Linked DNA regions of Oryzias latipes. The protein of the gene in region 1 interacts with the protein of each later gene in a pairwise test. Links are inferred from orthologs where the notes say so. Each region holds a gene or a part of one and is shown on either strand. Other genes may lie near its edges. The genes, in order: rpp30 and rpp14.

Region 1 (10,482 bases):
TAGTAGGGGGTCACATAATATTCATATTTAGATAATTAACTGTTAAAAAAAGAAACTTAAATGTGGAAATTAAAGCTTCAATCTGGTTTAGTTGTTAATCATCTTTTTTAGTTAATTGGAGGAAGAAATTGGAAGGAATAACTTTTGTGTGATTTTGCTTATTAATGGGCTTTGGCCTGTTGACAAAAATATAAATAAATAAATTCTCCTTTGCATCACTATCTGATCAAATTTATTTATTGTATGTTCACATTTATTTAGATTTACAAAAGAACAAAAGAAGGAAAACCTTTCTTGTCTTTTGGCTTTTGAAATGTGTATTTCATAGTCCAGGGGTACAATATTACAAAAATATAATGTTTAAATTATAATTTTCTGTGTTTTGAAATTCTCTTTTTTTTTCAAACCTAAAAATCATGATCAGTTCAAAGTGTTTAATAAGTCTTTTTGTTATCATTGATCTGTTGTCCATAAATATTGTGATTTTCTGAGGATCAGCTCCTGTGCTCTGCTGCCCCCTGGTGGCTCAGAATGCAGCAGCAAAAACCCTTTGATTTACATATTCTGCTAATTATTAAGCATTGATTGTTTTTTATGATGGTCTCAAATAAACTTTATAACTCAATACATACAAAAATATATATATTAAGAGAATTTACAAATGTTTCCATGTCTGACCAGAGCTGTTTGGTTTTAACACAAGGAGGAAAAAAAGGTGGAAAAGTGTTTCTTTGTTATGTTGGTAAACTTCACAAATATCATTGATATTATATCTTAAAATGTGTTAATTTTTTTACATCTTTTTTTAAAAAATTGAACATTAAAACTCTGATCCCTTATTAACGGTGACGTTAAAAGTTTGACCTTCCTCTGATTGGTTTTTTTCTGCTGTTACGTCACTGTATTTGAAAAAGAGTGGAAAAAGGGAATGGCGGAAAAGGTCAAAATAAAGAAGTTAGGGGGAAGTATGACTTCCGGTCCAGATTAAAATATTCAAATTAAAAGCAAAAATTTACACCTAAATGTGGCTGTTTAGAGATATTAAAAAATTTTCCAACAAAAAAGCAAAACTTAAACTCTATGTTTTGTTGGTCGGTCTCTCCAGAAATTATAATGTATTAATTAATATTGTTTTCAGTTTTTTTTCATTAAACATGAACTGAACACGATTGAACGGTAGAACGAGAGGTCAATATATGGATAGATACATTTGTGGGATCTTATGAAATTTATTTCATTGTTTTTTGAACAATAATTTCAAAGACTAAACCGACTTTGACAATGTGACCGTTTCATCTGTGCTTTTATTGTGAAGGGCCAGAACGTGTTTGGACCGGATGTGTCCCGCTGTAAACTAAAGTCTGCAGGTCGACGGAAGGACGGAGGGTTCCGTGACCCAGAGCTGCAGGGAGCCCACAGTCGCCTGGCGAGTGGCTAACCGGTGACCCGCCCGGTTTCACGGGGATTTGTTTGTATACCGGCAGTAAACACAGCCAGCTTCCGGTCACTGCGCGAACGCGAAAGTTTTCCTGCCAGTAAGCTACATGTTAGCATGGAAGGCGCTAACCTGCTGAAGAGGCGGTTCCTGGAGGAGGGGGCGGAGCTTTGGAGTTGTAAACCAGTGCAGGTGAGAGAAAAATACGTTTGTGGACTTCAGTCCTGATTGATCAGGTAATAATAATCAGTCAGTTGTCCTTCCGCTGATTAAACCTTAGTTAGCTAGCTGATTTGTTTAACATCCACTTCCTGGTTCCATAGTGGGACTGAAGACCCTGACTGGGCTGCCCGCTGAAGTGCCCAACCGTTTATTTACCTTTATCTCCTGCTTCTGTTGTCAGAACGATGTTTGGACCAGATTTATACGGTTCTAAGAACCCATCCAAGTCCACTCTGGGCCCGGATGTTCTGATGCTTCTGAGGTTCCAGATAAAGGAAAAGTAAATCTTCAGTTTGAAGATCTCACGGCTCCAGAAGTTCACGTTGGTGGTTGTCATTTGGAAAGTAGAGGGGGTGGGGTCGTTATTATGATCAGGTGATCAATCAGCTGGCTGTCACGGAGTTTGTCTGTGATTCTAACTTAGCTTCAAAACCGCTTCACTCGGGTCTGGGTCAGTTCCTGCAGATGTTTCTATAAATGAAGCAGAAGTTTGAACACACTGATGATGTTTGCATCCAGAAGCGACTGTGCATGGAGGCGGCTCTGCAGCTGGCGGAGTGTCCCATGGAGACGTCCTGCGTTGCCACGGTGACCAGTCAGCAGGAGCAGGTCAGTGCTTGAAGCTGCAGATGTTGTTCATTAAAGTCAACATTCTGGCCAGATGGACGTAAACAAAACAAAAAAAGCCCGTTGACTCCCATCAGAACCTCCCTGAGGTTCCACGTTCAGATCAGAAGCCTCAGCTTCATGTGATGCTGCTGTTGCCATAGAAACGAGGTCCCTTGACGTGTGCGCAGGTTCGTGCCGTTCATCTCAGACCTCCTACCATCTGCTGCGCCCGATGTCTCGGAGGAGAGCCGGTAATTTCTTCATCAGCTTTAGCACCTCTAAGTTTGGCTTTTTTATTAGTGAAATGAATTCTGGGAGATGGAGTCAACTGCTTGGTTCTTGTGCTTTTAGGGTCATATCAACCACATCATGGGTCTCTGAAGTGAGGAGGAGAACTTCCTGCAGTCTCTGGAGGACTCGTCTGAACCTTCAACCATCAAACTACTCTTAAACTCCACCTGAGGGTTTTTCTTCAGCAGCTGCTGCCAGAGCTTCAGGCCATCATCGTCTTCCTCCATCGACTCGCAGTAACTCCAGCGGGTCGGGACGTCCACCCCACTTGTGTTTACTTTTGATTTTGTTCTGCAACACTCTGATGTTTGAGGCTATTAGAGGTTTTTTGCTTCAGTAAGTTTAAGCCACGCCCTCCTCGTCTGATTGGTTTAATCCATCCAGTCCAAAGAAACTGCTATGACCTTTGACCTCTAACAGTAAAGGGCTATTTCACCAGGGAGGGTGTTTCTCCCCTCAGTCTGGTCTCAGGATAACTCCTCCCTCTGTGGTGTTTAAGGGAAAAATTCTGTTTAGTGACTTGAATTAACTTTAAAAAATGTTTAATTTAATTACATCTTTGTACGATTAATGAAATATGAATCCAGAAATGTTCACTAGTCTTCCTGTTCGTACATTTCTATTTTTATAAAGATATCTATATTTGTATGTCCAATCTGAATGTGAAGGAACGACCTCCTAAACTTTATTTCATTATCGTCAAGCTCCAAGACTAACAGCGTTTGTAATGTAGATTTCAGAATAAAAGCTTTGATACGCTTTGATTTTGAAATAAGACTCCTTTTTTTAAGGGGGGGGGGGGAGGTTCTTAAATCAATTTTATTTTTCCAAAAAAATACAAAAGTTGTCCAAAAAAATTTTTTTTAAATACTTGATTTAAAAAAGAAAAACTCATGATAATGAAGTCACAGAAATCGGAGCTGGCCCCGCCTCCCTAGCTGTCAATCAGGTGGTCTTGACCCTCTTGGCGGCAGGAGTGTCACCTGCACAGGTAGACGTTACATTCTTATCAGATACTCGGATGCTGAGCTCACTTCTGCACCAGAACTGACCCTCCGGAGGATCCGACGGCGCCTCCTGCTGGCTCCTCGCCGTGTACACGATCCCGCTGGCCGTCTTCCGAGTTTCTGACCACAAACACACACGGGTTGGAATTAACATCCAGGATCCGTCCACAAGTCGTGGACTGAAAGTCTCTGCTTCCTCTGTCCCTAAACAGGAGGAAGAGGAAGAGCCTGGGATGGCGTCCGTCCTCACCTGCGTGCAGCAGCGCCGCCCTGCAGGTGGAGGAGACGGCCTCTTTTGCGTCTCCATCTGACAAACCGAACAGCAAACCTCTGAAGACGCACATCAGGAACACAACAAACAGACACTGCTGTTGTGGGGGGGCGGCTGCTGTGACGGGGCCCCACCCACTCGTGATGATCAAAGGATACAGGTTGGTGATGTCATACGGTCCTCGCAGCTCCAAAGCCTGAAAACACAAAGGATTTTTAAAAACTACGGGAGCCTGAGAGGACCAAAACTCAGGTCTGCCATTGAGGTTCAACAGGTGGAGTAAAAACAGCTTTCACTGTGAAACACGGGGGTGGCAGTGTGATGGTGTGGGCAAGTTCAGAACACTGACCTTCTCTGCCGCGCTGGACAGGATCACGTTCTGAAAGACCAACAGATGTGTCAGGTGAGTGATGATGTCACCTCAGAGTGGGCGGGGCAAAGAACCCACCTTCCCTTTACAGCTGTCCGTCAGACTGGCGGCGTTGGCGATGGTGTAGCGCCTCATGGTGGAGTCTCTGATGGCCGCAGAGTACGACACCTCGAACATGACTCCGCGGTCGATGGCCTGGACACAGCAACGCGCACACATGCAGAAAAACGCACACATGCAGAAAAACGCACACATGCAGTCGCACAACGGCGACAACGAGAAGGCCTGGCGGCGGAGAGGTCACCCCATTGATCGGCGCTCTCTTGAAGAAAAAAGGAAGCTTCTCGGTGACGGAGATGCAGATGATGTCGATGTCGTACAGCATGCAGGCCGCCTGCACGCACACACACACACACACACACACACACACACAAACAAATGACTGATGTCTAACACAAACCACAACTAGAATCTCCTGAAGACACTGAACACATCAGTGAAGCTCACATGGAACAGCTTCTCCGAGGTGGGCTGCACCGCCAGGAGGTCAAAGCGGCGATACTCTGGAGCGTTGGGCCTCTGAACACGTTCACACACACACACACACAGAAGGTTTGGATCGATCAGCTGATTGATTCCGATCAATACTTCAGCACAGACTCTTACATAGTGACTGGGGTCGGACACCACCACGGTCAGCCTGTTCAATACTCTGATGGGGCGGGAGCGCCCCTGCACGACGGGCAGCTGATCAATCAGCTCATTGATTGGTTTAGGGACAGGAATTTCCTGCAGAGGAAGCTGAGACTTTCAAAGTAAAAGCCATGACGTCAAGGTGGGAGTTTGTGGTTCCGGGTGGACTGACCTGCTTCTGCTTGGCTGTCGGTTCGAACATGTAGTTGATGGCGACGGTGGAGAAACCCACTGCAAAGACAAGAAGAAGGCTTTAGAGCGCATGCGCACAGGTGAGCCACACGAGCGTCCTAGCAGAACCCCGAGGAACGTCAGCAGCAGAGGTTGTCGAACAGGAGGAAGTTCTGGTCACGTCCGAACCGGGTTCTTCTCCATAAGGACTTTTCACGCGGAGGTTTAATGGGAAGCAGCGCGCGGGGGAATAAACGATTCGAATCGCCAGCTATCTTTAAAACATCCGGGTATTTCTGCTAAAACAGGCGAAGCTGCCGAACCACAGAACCGGGAAGTTCGGGGGGTAACTTACGGTGAGCCGCCGTCTCCAGCAGTTTGCTGATTCGAGTCCGGTCCGCCGAAAACATCAGATTTAGGTCCATGAAAACCGCCATGACGCTGCACGTGCGGAAACCCCAAAGGCCGATGGGAGTTGAAGTCTCGTTTGCGCAGGGGCGTCACTGGGTTCTCGCGATGGTGGGAGACCAGCCCAGTTTTTTATTCTTCATCTGGATTTCTGAATTACTTAACCTAAAATTATCTTTGAAAAAATTAATTATTGACAATATGTCAGTTTTTGAAATCCCCATTCATTTTTATTTTATCCACTTATTTATAGTTGGTTAATTTGTTTCTTTGTTGATCTCATCTTTATTTACACATCTATTGGCATGTCAGTCTTATGCATGCTCCTTTTTTTATTTATTTATTTGTTTATTTATTTGGGGGGGGGGGGGGGGTTACACAGCAATTGGTTGACGTGAAACCATTTATTTTACTGAGAGATAAATCCAGGACTAGTGTCCAGTCTTTTTCTGTTTGATAAGCAGTGATGAAAGTCTTCCGGGAATTCCCGGAAATCCGGGTTTTTGAGCAAACCGAACGTACTTTCCGGGAAATAAAGACCTGATCTCTACGGACAAATCGCTTTCCGGATTAAAAAATGGTCTGAAATCAGCTAATTTTAGCTTTATTTTCTATATTTCTCCGCAGATCGTTTCCTCTATGGTCGTGGCCATCTCTCGTCTTCCCGGCCTAATTGACCAATGACGGGACGTTTTAGTTGCTTTCGGATGCGTCGACGGGTCTGATTGGCTCTGTCTGCACCACGTGGTCAGCGTGACTTGCTTCCCTAGAGACCAAAACTGGCGGACCCACGCTAAACTTTCACAAACACATCTGTAGAGTTTGCGATCAAATTTGTGTTAAAATAATGGCAGGCATCGTCATTATTGAGCGTGGTCACGACCTCAGTTGTGAGAAGACGATAAAAAACAAATTGAAGTGGTCTTGGATGGAAAAAAAAAAAAGATTTTTAAGGTAGTGTAGGTCAAATACTTTTTTGTGTAAAATAATCTCAAAACCACATTTTGAAATAATTTCAATTTTAGTTTTGAGTTTCAGTTTTTATTTTGAATACATTTCTTTATCTAATTTATTTGTATTTCCTAATTACCATGATTTAGTTCAGTATAGTTGACATTAATTATAAGTATTTGATGGTTTGGACCCGCACTCCCTTAAAAAATAATGTTTACAATGTTTTGTTTAGTTTGTATGTTTGTTTTGATATTTCCCAGATTACTTAGTATTGGTGTTAAAGAATTGATGTATTATGTTATAGAATTATAGTTTAAAGCAGATCCCATATTTTGATGTAATTATAGTTTGAGAAAACAGTGCAAGTGGATGTTGTACATCAGTCATTTCTAAAGCAGAAATAATGTATAAATAACTGAGGTATTTTCATAGAATATCATAGTTACTGGTGTTCTTTTTGCCATTTGGGGCTTTGATGTTACTATATTTTAGCAATTGTATGTTTTGCAGCTTTAAGGAAAAGCGTAGATTGTAGGATTGTGTTACTTTGAGCAATTTTCCAAATTCTTTTTTAGGACCAGCAAGTCCTTAATGGAGAGTCAAACTAGGGGTTTGAATGACAAATCATGATGCTCCAATTAGTCTTAGTTTTTTGATAAAGAAGTGAATAACTAGCTGCCAGAATGCACCAGAATGCATCTAAGACCACGTATTTTTCCAAAATTTCGCTCTGTGCCCGCCATATCGCTCAAAGAAAAGTTCAGGGATTTTTTCCTTGCCTGACTTTCATCACTGGATAAGTTCAAGTTATGTTTTTTTTTTTTTATTCCTTTAAGGAGTCCTAGTTGTGCCTCAGAAACCTTTGCTTTGTAATCAATATATTTGTCTTAGTGTCAAATCAACAGATGAATCATTTATCATCAGGATGGTCCCCCATCAATCAAACAGAAGGTTTGCTGCACTGTGAATGTTGGTGTAAATATGCTACAGAAATCCACGATGATGTCTGGACTCTTTCAGGGTCATACATGATGTCAGCGTTGAATTTCAGATGGATGTTAAGTTAAGGAGGTTTGAAGTTTTGACTGGAATGAACAATTTTCACCATCTGCATGAATGAAGCTGTCAGTCAAAACTGTTGTTTTATTTTAATTACCAAGAATCTATTAAAATTGTAAAACTTTAAGGATTTGATGTCATTGGGAGTTTAATTCTTAAACTGTTGCAATAAAATGGAAATGATGTTTTTTGGTAGTTTTGCTATTTGTTTATATACCGTAAATTCAATCGTTATCGCAATATTAATCACCAATATCGCAAGTTTTGCTTATGCCGTGCAGCCCTACTGTTAATTCAGTTAATGCTCAGGTATTATCTGGTTTGTTTCTCACTGATTATTGTCATTGTTCTCCTTTATCATCTTTTTTCCGCAAATGATGAGTTTTAAATATCGTACACTATCTTTTTGTTTAACCTTTTAACCTTGTGGTATTCAGAGCGAAAAGCAAAGTGAGCATCTCAGGAAAACCTGTTTCCTAACTGTACAATGACAATAACCCCTTTAATCCTTGAAACTTATAAATAAACACATGAAATAACCTTTTTTGTGTGTTTTTGCTGGTCTACTTTGTGCATTCACACCCAGTTTTACATGTTTTTATTTATCTTCTTTTCACGTGTCGCTCTGATCTCAACCTAAAGTCCACTTTTCAAACCCTTTTCAGGTCTAAACCCTTACAAAGAATTGCTCAGAAAACGGAATTCCTGAAAATTGTTCTTTTTGTAATGAGGATATTAAAACAACTGAGCATCTTTTCTTTTAATGTTTTTACTCTAAAGCCTTTTAGGATATACGTTGATACGATGATATACGTTATTGGCTTTTCCCCAAGATTCCATGTCTATCAGACTTTTCCATAAATCATTTTTGGGTTTATTTTAGAAAACAAAAACACAGAAATCGTTTTAAATGTTATAACTATCCTGGGTACATTTTATATACACAAATGTCGATTCCTTTAAACCAAACCATATTCTTTTACCTAATTTTGTAATTGTTTACATTTTTCTATGCTATATCTAATTATAATTTGACAAACACCTTGGACAACTGCCACAAAGATTGTAAACCTCAAGTTTGTGTCTTCAATAAAAAATAAAATATATAATAAAAACTCTGATCTCAGATCAGTTTCCGGTCCGGAGCGGAACGTTCCCCTTTCCCGCCAGCAGGGGGCGGTGCGCGCGTCAATCTCGCTCTGTGAGGCACCGCCGAGGAAGACGTTCAGCAACCTGCAGGTACGAAAAGACACGAACCGAGCCGAACCACGGTTCTATTCTGATACTGAATCCCAAGGTTCGGTTTTACCGGTCCGTTGAAATCTTCCCGCTGACTTAAAAGAACATCGCGTGAAACACGTGACTCGGTGTTGTCAAACTTTAGAACTTTGCCCCAAAGCACAGAACGGGTCAGGTCTGTTCCGGTTCGGCTATATGTTTGGAATATCATATCATACATCTGTTTCCCGAGTCTACCGGGAGTCCATGTGGATAGGAACCGGTCTGTTAGAATAGGTTCGGACCCCAGCAGAACCTTTGACCTGTTTCCTGTCTGCAGGCAACAGAACCAGGCCAGTTCTGACTAGTGGACCCAGAACGATGCTCCTCCTAAACCCTCTGAGGGGGATCCTCAGTGCCAGACCTCAGGTTCTGGGTCTGACCCGCTTCAGCTCCAGCTTTGTGTCCAGGATGAGGTCAGGAACCCAAACTGATTGATCGAGTGACCCGATTGATGTGATTGATGTACAAACTGGGTCCAGATTCCTGAACCGGCTGAAGCAGGAGGACGAGGCGTGTGCGGCGGCGCTGCAGGACGGTCAGCTGGTTCTGTTCCACCGCCTTCAGCCTCTGCTGCAGCGCGGACCCACCGGAACCTTCAGACCCGTCACCCTCACCTGCTCAGGTACCAGAACCTCAGGAGGAACGAGAACCTAATACTGAAAGCTAAGACTGCTGTGTCCCTGTTTCAGGAGTTCAATCACTCCTCCAGAACTTTGGTTCTGATGGACCTCTGCTAGAAGACTCTATTCTGATTGGCTGCAGTGAACAGAACCAGGCTCAGTTCTGCCTGGATGTTGGTAAGATCGCCTGACAGAATCACCAGTGTTTCCTTCCCTCAACCATGACATACAGGTTCTGTGGTTCTGGTCTTCATTTAGGACATCTGGACCAGGCGGCAGTAGCAGAATTCTGTGCGGGGACCTTCATAGACCTGAGGAAATCCTTCTTTCTTCTACCGGGACCTGCGGCCCAGCTGGTGGCCAAGGTCAGCAGCTGGAACCCAACATGCGGTTCTGGTTCCTCTCCCAGTCCAGGATGCTAAAAAAACACGAACTCTGTTGTTTCTGGTCCATTTCCTGGTTCTGATGTCGGTCTCTCTTGCAGGCTCAAGCTCTGCTGCGCTGGCATCAGACCAACGGGTTCTGCAGCGCCACGGGCCAGCCCACTCACCGGAACCGGGCCGGCAGCCAGAGGGTCTGCAGCAGCAGCTCCATAATCTACTATCCAAAGGTGATTTTTCTTTCCTCCCTGCGCTGGTTCTGATCCACCAGAACTGAGCACATCCTTTGCAGTTCCTGGTGACCAGCAGGGGGCGGAGTTTCACCGCCTGCTCCTCAGAAAGCTGCGGTCTGCTGGGCTGCTGGGCGTGTTCTCCTGCAGGAGGAGGTTCTGTCCCAAACAGAACCTGAAGATGGAGAACCTCCAGTCTGGTTTGAAACTGGATCATGTGCAGACCACATTGTGCACGTATGTGCGTGCACGTGCCGCAGTCACTCCTGCAACAGGTGTGTGAACAGACACGCCTCAGTGAAGTCACCTGAGTTCATCATTCGTACAGAATGACATCATCATCAGTTTTGTAACCTAAAGGGGCGGAGCTTTGGAAGATCAGGTTGTTAAATTTAAAAGAATCATTTGTCCCAAACGCCCCATGTTCTGGTGGGAGGGGCCAGCGTGACCCGCCTGCCTGTGGTTCACAGATGTCCCCCGT
Region 2 (10,447 bases), on another chromosome or scaffold:
TAATTTGGGATGACAAAATGTGCAAACATAAAATTTTTCACCTCAAAGCATTTTCGCATGATTTTGTTATTACAAAAAAAAACGTTATTTGAGGTAACAAAATGTGGATAAATTATTGTATTTAATTTTTAAAAATACTTTATAAATGCTGATTGTTTTAATTCATTAAAAAATGTAATGTTTGCATTTTAATTTTATTTGTAGCTACAAGGCATAATTTTATTACAATTTTTAGATTGACCTATGCATTAGGTAATAAAATCTTAAATGTTTAATATTCCAAAGTTAGATTCAAATGAACAAAAATGCCATTGAAGACTATTTGGGCGTGTTTTTGCACAAATCATCTCTACACGTTTAGTTATTTTTGACGCAGTAAATATTTCCTCCGCTAGGTGGCAGTAATGAAATTGTTTTAAACCGGAACACAGAACTATAGATGATGCGTTTCCTGTTAGTGTGGCGCGTGCAGGTTGTTTTGAGAAGCAGGGAAATCAACAAAGATGGTGAGATTTGGATCGCTTTTGTCAGCTTTTCGACTTGGTAGAGGATCAGTCCGGCAGCCGCGCAGAAAACCATCAGCAGAACATTCGGTTTCAAAATGCCGAACTGCCTATGTGTGGTGCGCGCGGGCCACTGCTATTGGACTGAGCCTGGATTTCGGTGGTTCGGAGATGACGCTGGTTCTGGTGGGTTCTAATCATGTTTCTCTGTTTCAGGCGAGGAACGCCGAGAAGGCCATGTAAGTATTGCTACGTGGAAGCAGTTCAGAACCTCTAACTCACGGGTTCTGTTGCCACAGTGGTTCTGATGGCCTTGCTGTGTCTTTCAGGACGGCGCTGGCCCGCTTCCGGCAGGCTCAGCTGGAGGAGGGGAAGGTTAAGGTTAGTTTCTGCTGGTTCTGTCTGTGGCTCATGTCTCAGTCAGTGTCTCACTCTACTCCGCCTGTCTGTCTGTCTGCCTCCAGGAGCGGAGGCCTTTCCTGGCATCAGAATGTAGTGAACTACCAAAGGCAGAAAAATGGCGACGCCAGGTACCATTGTTGTTCTCAGACAGGTTCTGGTCGAAGAATCAAGCAGATGTTCTGACTGTGTTCTCCTTAATGGCTCCAGATAATCAGTGAGATCTCCAAGAAAGTGGCTCAAATCCAGAACGGTGAGTTTAGAACTAGGCTGAGGTTGTCTCTGATCCGTTTGCCTGTACTTAAGACTTACTGTGTTCCAGCCGGTCTTGGGGAGTTCAAGATTCGGGATCTGAATGATGAGATCAACAAACTGCTGAGAGAGAAGGGCCACTGGGAATATCGGATCAAAGAGCTTGGAGGGCCCGACTACAGGGTAACCAGTCCCGTCTGCGGCTGGCTGCTCCGGTCCGAACCAGGAAGATGGAAACGTTGATTGTGTTTGTGTTCCAGCGCTTTGGACCGAGGATGCTGGACCACGAGGGCAAAGAGGTTCCAGGTAACCGCGGCTACAAATACTTTGGAGCAGCCCGAGACCTGCCTGGAGTCAGAGAGCTGTTCGAGAAGGAGCGTAAGTATCCTTGCTACTTCCTGTTTACCAGGAACCTGTCATGATGGTTGCTGCATGACTGTTACGTGACCCACAGCTGCTCCGGAGCAGAGGAAGACGAGGGGAGAGCTGATGAAGGACGTGGATGCAGAGTACTACGGCTACAGGGATGAAGACGACGGCGTGCTGCTTCCTCTGGAGGTGCAGTACGAAAAACAAGGTAGATCTGCTGCAAACGATGGTCTGGACTTGTGGACCAGCATGTAGAGGGGTGACTGACACAGTGTGCGTTTGTGTACAGCTGTGATGGAGGCAGTTCAGAAGTGGAAAGCGGAGAAGGAGACCCATCTGCCTGGAGAGAAACCGGCACAAGAGGAGGAAGAAGAGAGCATTTACAGTGTCCAAAACCAAGAGGTGACCTTCATCTACTTGACTCATCCAACCAGCTGCTGTACAGCTGACCTCACCCAGTCAAACCTGCGGTGTGTTGTATCTGAGCATTCTGTTCAGGGTGTGCTTGATTTGTCTCTTCACAGCCCGATGATGATGAGAATCGGGATGAACTGGAGGAAGAGGAGGGCGGAGTCACGTTTTTTGCCCATGTTCCAGTCCCATCTCAAAAGGAGGTGAGGTTTCATGCGTGTGGTTCTGTTGTGGAGCGATGAAGAGTGGAGCCCCTGTAGCTTCCAGTCAGGTCCACTGACTATGCATGACTGGATCTAGTGAGTGTGATGTCACCCATAAAAATGGCTTACTTTCAGCTCCAGTGAAAAGTCAGTCGCCATTTTTTTCAGGATACGGATCTTGTTGGAGGCAGACTGTAGTAGCCAGTAGTGAGCCCGTATGAATCAATGTTTCTATGGCAACCACTCTCGCCAATTAGGAGTGAGCGTGTTGGAAGTCCACACCTCACGCTATCAATCGAACTGTTAAACAGTTCGAACAAGAGATACGTGGATACATCAGAATTTCCTGAACCTAAGAAAATCTCTTTATTTTTTTTGTAGTTGTAATAAAATAAATCACTTCCTGTATTCCGGGTATCATTCACTATTTTGTCATCTCCTTCGTGTTGGGTGAAGAACACAAGCTCTTTTTTTGGTTATCATTCATCTGATTGGCTGATTTGCCGATTGGGTGAGAGTGAAAGGCTGCTGATTGAGAAGCAAAAGATTGAATTATAACTAAGAGTACCATACTTTTTTCTTTTTTTTTAATCATTCACTCCATCAGAGTAAGGAACTTCCAATGGGGTTTTATATTGCTGTTGCATAAGAATATGATGGTCTACATCCATAACATTTGTTTCTGCCCCAGGTGGAGGAAGCTCTGGTAAGGAGGAAAAAGATGGAGCTGCTGCAGCGTTACGCCAGTGAGACTCTTCAGGCTCAGAGTCAGGAGGCCAGAGCCCTGTTGGGTCTCTGATCATTGTTCTACTTGTGTGTCCCACTTTGCTGCTCCGCTCTCAATAAAGCTTCTTCTTTGCTATTTTTACAAACTTGTTTGTGCGAGTCTTCAATCGAACCCCATCATCTCCTGACAGACAATCCTGTTTCCAACCATCATTTCTGCTGCATGGATACTCTGAGCAGCAGAAACTTCGGGGACTTTTAAACCTGAACAATACAAACACTTAACCTGTTATTTTTATACAATAACTTTAATCACCAAAAGACAAAGAGCATGCTGAGGTGTAATTACAAATTCTAAAATGTGATCAAACTTGAAAAGTTAGAAAAATAACTTTTTCTAATGAAGAAAAACAAAAATTCAGCTAGACGACTGACACGCGTCTTTAGACCTCATTTAAAACCAAACTTGAAACCAAAATCTGCTGCATCTGGATGTCCTCCAGTCACTTTCCCTGATGCTGTTGCTCCACAGGCATCATCACCATGACCTCCCCCTCCATCACCACTTTGTCCTTAGCAGAGCACCTCACAGAGATGAAGGCGAACGACATCTTGATTTTGAACACCTCTGCTTCTGCCAGCACCTCCTCTCCAACGTAAAGTGGTGCCAGGAAGCGGATCTCCTGGTGCAGGAAGACGCAGCCGGGGCCGGGCATCTTGGTGCCGAGCACGGCCGAGATCAGCCCGTTGATGAGGACGCCGTGCACAATGGGCGTCTCAAAGGAGGTGGTGCTGGCGTATGCTGGGTCCACATGCAGCGGGTTGGTGTCGCCTGTGAGCTCGGCGAATAGCTCGACGTGGCGAAAGGAGAACGTTTTGGTGAGGGAAGCTCGCTGTCCGACGTGGAGCAGCCGGTTGTGAGGACGAGCCGCCGCGACAGAAGACAAACCGAGTTTGATGATGTTTCTCCACATGGCTGCACTCAAACCAGAAGCAGCTCCCGCTTCAGTGGAGCTGCAGCTCACGACTGTTTCCTGTCAGCGCCAACAGGAACGGAGACACCTGAGAGCAAAGTGGGGAGTTTTATTTACATCTGAATAGCAGGTAAGCAGATTTCTCATTTTGAGTTAAAACCAACAGTAATTTGATCGCTCCACTGACAAAATGGTTTATTTCACAATCACCAAATGTAGAAAACATGTTTCCTGACCTGCAGCACCCTGAAGGCGCAGCTCTGGTTCTGATAAGAGCCGAGCAGAGTCAGGGAGCTCCACAGTTTCACTAAACCACTGGGGGGGGGGGGGAGAAAAGAGCATAATTAACACAACATTCACAAACTTTGAAATGTGAATTAGAAATTCTGACAATTATGCCTTTAGGCTGACCTGCTGTGAACACGCAGAAGAGCCGTCAGACTTCCTTCATCATACTTCAACACATCAAAGTTCAACGCTGCTCCAACCTGAGGTACATTTATGCAAACAGCAGCATTATAAAAGCGTTTCCAGTTGACTTTTCATTGTGATAGTGCAGTCGTTGATTTTTCCAGCCAAAGTGAAAAAATCTGTGTTGCTTTCTAGGACATAATTTCTGCAGAGCAGCAAAACTTCGTTAGAATTCTCAGAGTTGCAGGTGGGACTGTTGGCATGGAGTAAACCTACCATCATCCTTCTGTTTAAACACTCTCCCACTAGCTTACAGCCTCTCACAACCCCAGCCTAACATTAAAGGTGCAACAAAAATGGAGAGCAATATTGGAGCTTTCCAGACGTACAGTTTTGAGCCAAATACCAGCTCGGACGAGGAAAACAAAGACATACACGGATCTATTCGACTGTGTGTGGATGCATCAGAATGGAGTGGAGCAGGGGGCATGCGGCCTGCCAATTGTAATTTCTACGTAAAAATACAACCTTTTTTTAAACTGCATTTTATTTCGTCTGCTTCTGATTCCCAACTATTTGAACACATACTTTGAAATGCGATTTTTAGATTAATGTTCTTATTATATGTCCTCCATCATCAGAAAAATGCCCCAAGAACATGTTTAAAAGACCATTTTCATCTAAAGGGGTCTTCAATGGAAATGCATTCATAATGGTATTCAGCGCTTCATTGCGCTGACAGCTCTTATTTTTGAATTGAGTTCTTCTTTTTCAGTGCACAATCTCACCTCTCCATGAAGATTCTTCAGGCCTGCGATGATGAAGTGTTTCAGCTCTACTGCACTCAATCTGTTTGAGTTATCCTCCAGTTCACTAAACACAAGTGGTAACATACAGATGAAGTTCCCTTCTAAGAGCTGGGCAGACACTAAAGACAGAACATTAATCTTGAACAGAGACTCACAGGTGGACTTTCATGTAGTGGTGCGGTGAAGCGTTCTTCAACACGACACGGTGAAAAGTCTCCTCTTTGTTGATAGCTTTCATTTTAGTGAAACATCAGTGACTCCGTCAAACTGAAACAAATAAACCACAAAAATCTGTTTCCCGAAGAACCAACATGCTGTTTTAAGCAGAGATTACTGATGTGCGTGTGTCCTTCTGAATGATTTGCAACACAGGTCTCAGACTGCAGTCCTCACGCGGTCGATGTCACGCTTGTGTTTCTGCTCTTTCAGCTTCTTCTTGTTGGAAAAACACCTCAACCTGATAATCAGCAGGAGGCCTGGAGGTAAACAACCCTGACACAGAAAATCTTTCCAAATGGTGTCAGAAATGATAGAGCACAAAATTAAATCTTAAAATTTTGTAAATTGTGGTACATTTGTAGTATTTTCCTTTAACTTCTCTCTCTTGGTGTGTTTTATTTTTTATTGATGTTTTACAATTTCGCCGTTTAAGCTAGTTTTTGTTTGTTGTTCAGCTTCCTATCTGGATTTTTGCAAACGTTTAAATATCCAAATCTTTTATTGTTCAGAATTGTTCCACAAAAAAACAAAAGATTTAAGTGTTAAATCAAAACGAAAATTGAAAAACAAAAAAGCCAAGGTCGAACCACCAACCACCAGGAAAGCGAAATATTTACTAGCCAACTCAAATTAAAGTTAGCACCTACGTTGTAAGATGTTAATTCTCCCAAGATACGGACAATAACTGCCCGGATTTCAATATGTGTATACTTAATATAATACGTTGCACTCACCACCACAGTTTTACCAGTTTGAAGTCACAGTTGCATGTTTTCCTTCGACGGGCGCCGCCATGAAAACCTCAGCAATGCGCGTGCGCAACTCCAGCGGAAATGATTTTTTTCTTCCTAAAACTTTATTTCACTACTACAGGATACAAAACAAAAGGACTAAAAACATCCAGGTAAATATAACAGACGAATAAAACAAGAAAAGTTGAACAAATAAAAACAAAATAAATAAAAACTATATAGGTTATTGGGTTACCAGCGTTAAAGAACAATACTTTAGATTTTTACAAGAAAGAGTGTTATTAAAACAAATAAAACTGATCATTTCAAGTCGTTTCTGTAAAAAAATGTAATGCAGGTATACAAATAAATATCATCCAATGATCATGCAAAAGGTTTGAAGATTAACTACAAATTTTGCACATGTATGATAAATGGTGGAGTCTCAAAGAATGTTGTGCAAAAAATGTAAGAATTACATTTAACATTGTTAAAAGCAAACATTCTTTTCATGGGCATGAACAGGTTCAAAGATTTCTTCATTGTCATCTGAGGATAACAGTTCCACGGTCAGAGCAGCTGCAGGGAAACTTTCCCTGTCCTTGGGTGAATTCTTTTTCTTTTTTGTTTTTTTGTAAATGTGCTGAGTGCCAACTTAAAGGAAATTACTGAACCTTTAGAAGTTGCTAAAAAGTATATTCCAAGTTAATATTTTAAACATTTTAAACATAGTTTTACTAGCAGAGAATGGAAGGAGTAGGCTAGATCGAGTGCATATCAAACTTGCTTTTTCTCTTGTTACTTGTTGCTATAACATGAATGTCTATTATCAAATAATTTTCTCTGTATTGTTAAGCCAGTACTGTTCCCTAATTCCTTCATAAAAGTTTTATGATTGTCTCATCCACACACAACATAAAAAGAAACATCCAATAAAAAATATCACCCCCCCCCCCCCACCACCACCCTTTTTTAATAAAAGGCAGAGTACGCTGATTTGTGTAGCACCACAGAAGCAATTTCAGGGAGAGATGCTTCTACAGCATTAGCCAACCAATGCAATCAAAATAATAAATGCCACTTTAGTCCCAAAAAGTTTTTATTTGTCTTGTTTACACATATTAATGACTGGTGCACTGCAGGATGCAAATAAAAACTCATGCCAAACTAATATACCCCAAAAAAAAAAGTCAAAGTACAGAGCCCTGGACATGACATTCAAAGTTAATGAGTAGATTGTTCCCTAAGAACAATACTTTTTGACCACAAATTGTAATTTTGTGTGCACTAATTTGTATTTTGTTGCCACAAATTGGTATTTTATTGACAACAAATTGGTATTTTATTGACAATTTGTGGGCACAGATTAACTTTTTGTTTTGAAATTGTAACATTTTGTCGCCTCAAGTGAGCATTTTGTGCACACAAATTACTACTTTGGTGTGATTAATTCCTTAAAAATTTATGGCTACAGAATATTAATTTGTAGAACCTAGTTTGTGGCCACAAAATGCCAACAAAGTAAAAATTTGTGTCATGTCAAGGGGTCAAAGGAACCCTTTTTCCCACAACAGTGATACAAAATGCGTGTTATTGTCTGGAATTTATTGAAGTACAATTTGAATAATACTCTGAGAGTTAGTTGATATTTCTAGAAGTTTCTTGTTTTTACACCAGTCTGAAAAAACTAAATTTGAGACTTCTTGGCCTCCACAGATCACTAGCAATGAATGAAATGCCACTGAAAAGAAATTGATCAGTGTGTTTGAGTCCGGCTCCTTTAAAGCTGTCGCCTTGAATGAATGAATAAAGGAAGGAAGGTGGGGCTTAAACAAACAGTGACAGGAGCTGAAGGAACACGTGAGAGTGACTGAGACTCAAGATCAACTGCAGGTCGGAGTTGCTGGTCTGTCAGTGTCACAGACAGCAGACCGGACTTTTATTTTCGGTTGTTGTAAACCGATCCGCTTCGATTTTTTTGGGAGAACTCTCCTGACCGGACAGGTTACTTAAGCCGTATACTTCAGGTTTGATCGATAAGAGAGAAAAACTTGTTTTTTTTTTTTATGTGAAATACTTTAGCGAGTTTTACTAAGATTTCCTTTGGAGTCCTGGACGAGCCGATGCGGCGCGGCTAGAGGTCTGGTCCGGAAGGGTTGCTGGAGAATTGACCTCCCCCTGTAAGATCCCAGGTGCTGAACATGCTTCAAAATGGAAATATTAAGGAGGAAAAGCTGCCGCAACCAGAAGAGACGGGGGAGACGAAGGGTGACTCACCCGGTCCCGCGGCGGACGACAAGGACTCCGAGCCCTCACACTTCCCCATGCCGGTTCACACCAAACTGGAGATAAAACGCAACGCAGTGACGGACGATTACAAAATCTCCAGTCAGGTTCTGGGCCTGGGGATCAATGGGAAAGTCCTGGAGTGCTTCAATAAGAAGACTGGAGTCAAGTGCGCGCTGAAGGTAGTGAAAAAAAACAGTCCTGAAGCTTTCCATTCTGAGAGCAGCTGACGCACACAGTGGACGGCGGAGCGCAGACTGTCGCTGTAATTACATAGATAGTATAGTATTGCATACACATGCAGTCTCTTTAGGTGTTGCAAATGCATGCATGACTAAAGCAACACACAGCCATATGACAAAGTAAACATTACAGTCAGCTCAGAAGGAAACAGATGAGGAAGTTACTTCAGTGTCACATGTACTTGGAAATAATAGAAATATTTGTTTGGATAACTGACATTCACTAAGTGAATGGACAGAAGAACCAAAAAGTGTTGCATTTATTAAAGCTCAAAGGTGATTTAAAAAAAGTCATCTTTGCTAATACATATTTATTAGAGGTGTAGCGTTTCATTTCAACAGCGATTCGATTTGTATAGAATTACCGATACTTTTCAAGATTGATTCATTTTGAACGATCCAATTCACTGAGCTACAATCTATCCAGGATGTCTTTAGCCAACAATTCAGACTCAGACATAAATACCTGCGTTCTGAACAGTGCAGGTGACGATTCCTTGTATTTCTTGCAAGATAATCAAACTAAGTGTACAAACACATACGTAAACAAGAATTAATGGCAAATCCATTCACAATTTAGTTTCCTAAAGTTCAGCCCACTGTTTTTTTTCCACATCAAAATAATACAAACTATTAGAAGATACTACCACCCTGTATGGTCTTGTGTCTTTGAAAATTTCAAAGTATTTCCACACATTGAGCTGGAATGATGGCTTGATCATATGTTGCCGCCGTTGCATGTGTGTCCGCTGTGATGGTACGTTTTTATGTTATAGTAAAATAAACCCGCTGTGCCTTAATGGTATTTTCCAATATTAGTATAATCAATCTATTTCATTTTGAAACTATGAACAGACCTTTAAACAATATGATATAGGTCAATTTGATTACCAACTTGCTTCAGACAAATCAATGTGTTGGATTGTATATAAATCGATTCATCAATTAAGTCGATTCATTGTTACAACTCTTGCTTTTAGAGTTGTTTATATTCTTCTTGGGTTTCAGGTAATTGGTTTATTAAAAAAAAAAAAAAAGGACAATAGGAGTTTCGTATTTGACAGCGCTTACCTTACTAAGTTACACAGCACACGTGCTGTAAGACCATGTACATTATGCCGTTGCATATGTGTCTATGTGCTGCCCACATGGATTTTTAGCTCAGGCGAATGCAGGAACACGCGGCCACTCAATTATAGCTTTCATATGCAGCAGAGGAAGGTGGTGTGTCTGTGTGTGTGTGTGTGTGGGGGGGGTAATTTGCCTGTCACCTGTCCACACTTGGCCTCGGACTCAGAGATTTGCAGGCTTACAGTAATCTATCTGGATGTGAGCTGCCAGCAGCAGAGCTGTTGCTCAAAGAGACTTAAGATGAAATAAAACTGAAAATACATATTCAAATTCAACTTCATTAAAATGGTAAATGTTGTATACTAATATAGTACTTTACTACCTTCTAAGAAGGCCCAGGATGCTTTACAATCACAGTTCCATTCACCAATGCACACACACACACACACACACACACACATTCACACACTGATGATGGATTCACTGCCAAACACTGGCACCAATTTATAACCACCAGGTCCAATGTGGCGGTCAGTGTCCTGCTCAAGGACACTTCCACACATGGGCCGGCGATCTTCCAATCAGAGGTCTGCCCCTGCATCATGGCTGCACATAATGTAATGTAAAGAAAATAGATGATATTAATAAAAATAGTAATCACAATAAAATCCTCCCCAACATTTTATGCAAAAGCAAACAAGGAAAAAGTGTATAAAACACGAGGAAACGTAAAAAATGACTTAAAAGCTAAATGACAACGGTGAGTTTTTCTGTTTCTTTCTGAAAAACCTCCACCAAAAAACCCATAACATAACAGCTGGAAGTCCAGAAAAGAAAATGT

The links.
Region 2: the proteins of rpp30 (region 1) and rpp14 interact in binary tests that used the Homo sapiens proteins (3 or more experiments, as listed by UniProt). The link is inferred for Oryzias latipes from reciprocal best matches to the Homo sapiens genes RPP30 and RPP14.

What each region holds. Positions count from the first base shown.
Region 1 is NC_019877.2:1,033,688-1,044,169, reverse strand, and holds rpp30 (ribonuclease P protein subunit p30), read right to left. Parts: upstream 5,772-10,482; 5' UTR 5,507-5,771; coding exon 5,425-5,506; intron 5,171-5,424; coding exon of another isoform or gene 5,161-5,170; exon of another isoform or gene 5,130-5,160; coding exon 5,071-5,129; exon of another isoform or gene 5,061-5,070; intron 5,007-5,060; coding exon 4,872-5,006; intron 4,785-4,871; coding exon 4,713-4,784; intron 4,600-4,712; coding exon 4,510-4,599; intron 4,401-4,509; coding exon 4,284-4,400; intron 4,215-4,283; coding exon 4,185-4,214; intron 4,032-4,184; coding exon 3,815-4,031; intron 3,685-3,814; coding exon 3,610-3,684; intron 3,541-3,609; coding exon 3,503-3,540; 3' UTR 3,358-3,502; downstream 1-3,357. Other genes in the region: nudt13 (nucleoside diphosphate-linked moiety X motif 13), read left to right, coding at 5,161-5,170, 9,049-9,184, 9,251-9,393, 9,461-9,568, 9,650-9,756, 9,876-10,001, 10,472-10,482. UniProt on the Homo sapiens protein: Component of ribonuclease P, a ribonucleoprotein complex that generates mature tRNA molecules by cleaving their 5'-ends. Also a component of the MRP ribonuclease complex, which cleaves pre-rRNA sequences.
Region 2 is NC_019863.2:25,334,994-25,345,440, forward strand, and holds rpp14 (ribonuclease P protein subunit p14), read right to left. Parts: upstream 6,903-10,447; 5' UTR 6,011-6,902; intron 5,515-6,010; 5' UTR 5,296-5,514; coding exon 5,213-5,295; intron 5,122-5,212; coding exon 5,037-5,121; intron 4,326-5,036; coding exon 4,249-4,325; intron 4,153-4,248; coding exon 4,074-4,152; intron 3,926-4,073; coding exon 3,869-3,925; 3' UTR 3,838-3,868; coding exon of another isoform or gene 3,367-3,837; 3' UTR 3,153-3,366; downstream 1-3,152. Other genes in the region: pre-mRNA-splicing factor ISY1 homolog, read left to right, coding at 504-506, 720-742, 833-884, 968-1,033, 1,113-1,155, 1,225-1,337, 1,415-1,532, 1,609-1,731 and 3 more; hydroxyacyl-thioester dehydratase type 2, mitochondrial-like, read right to left, coding at 3,367-3,837; MAP kinase-activated protein kinase 2, read left to right, coding at 8,209-8,475. UniProt on the Homo sapiens protein: Component of ribonuclease P, a ribonucleoprotein complex that generates mature tRNA molecules by cleaving their 5'-ends.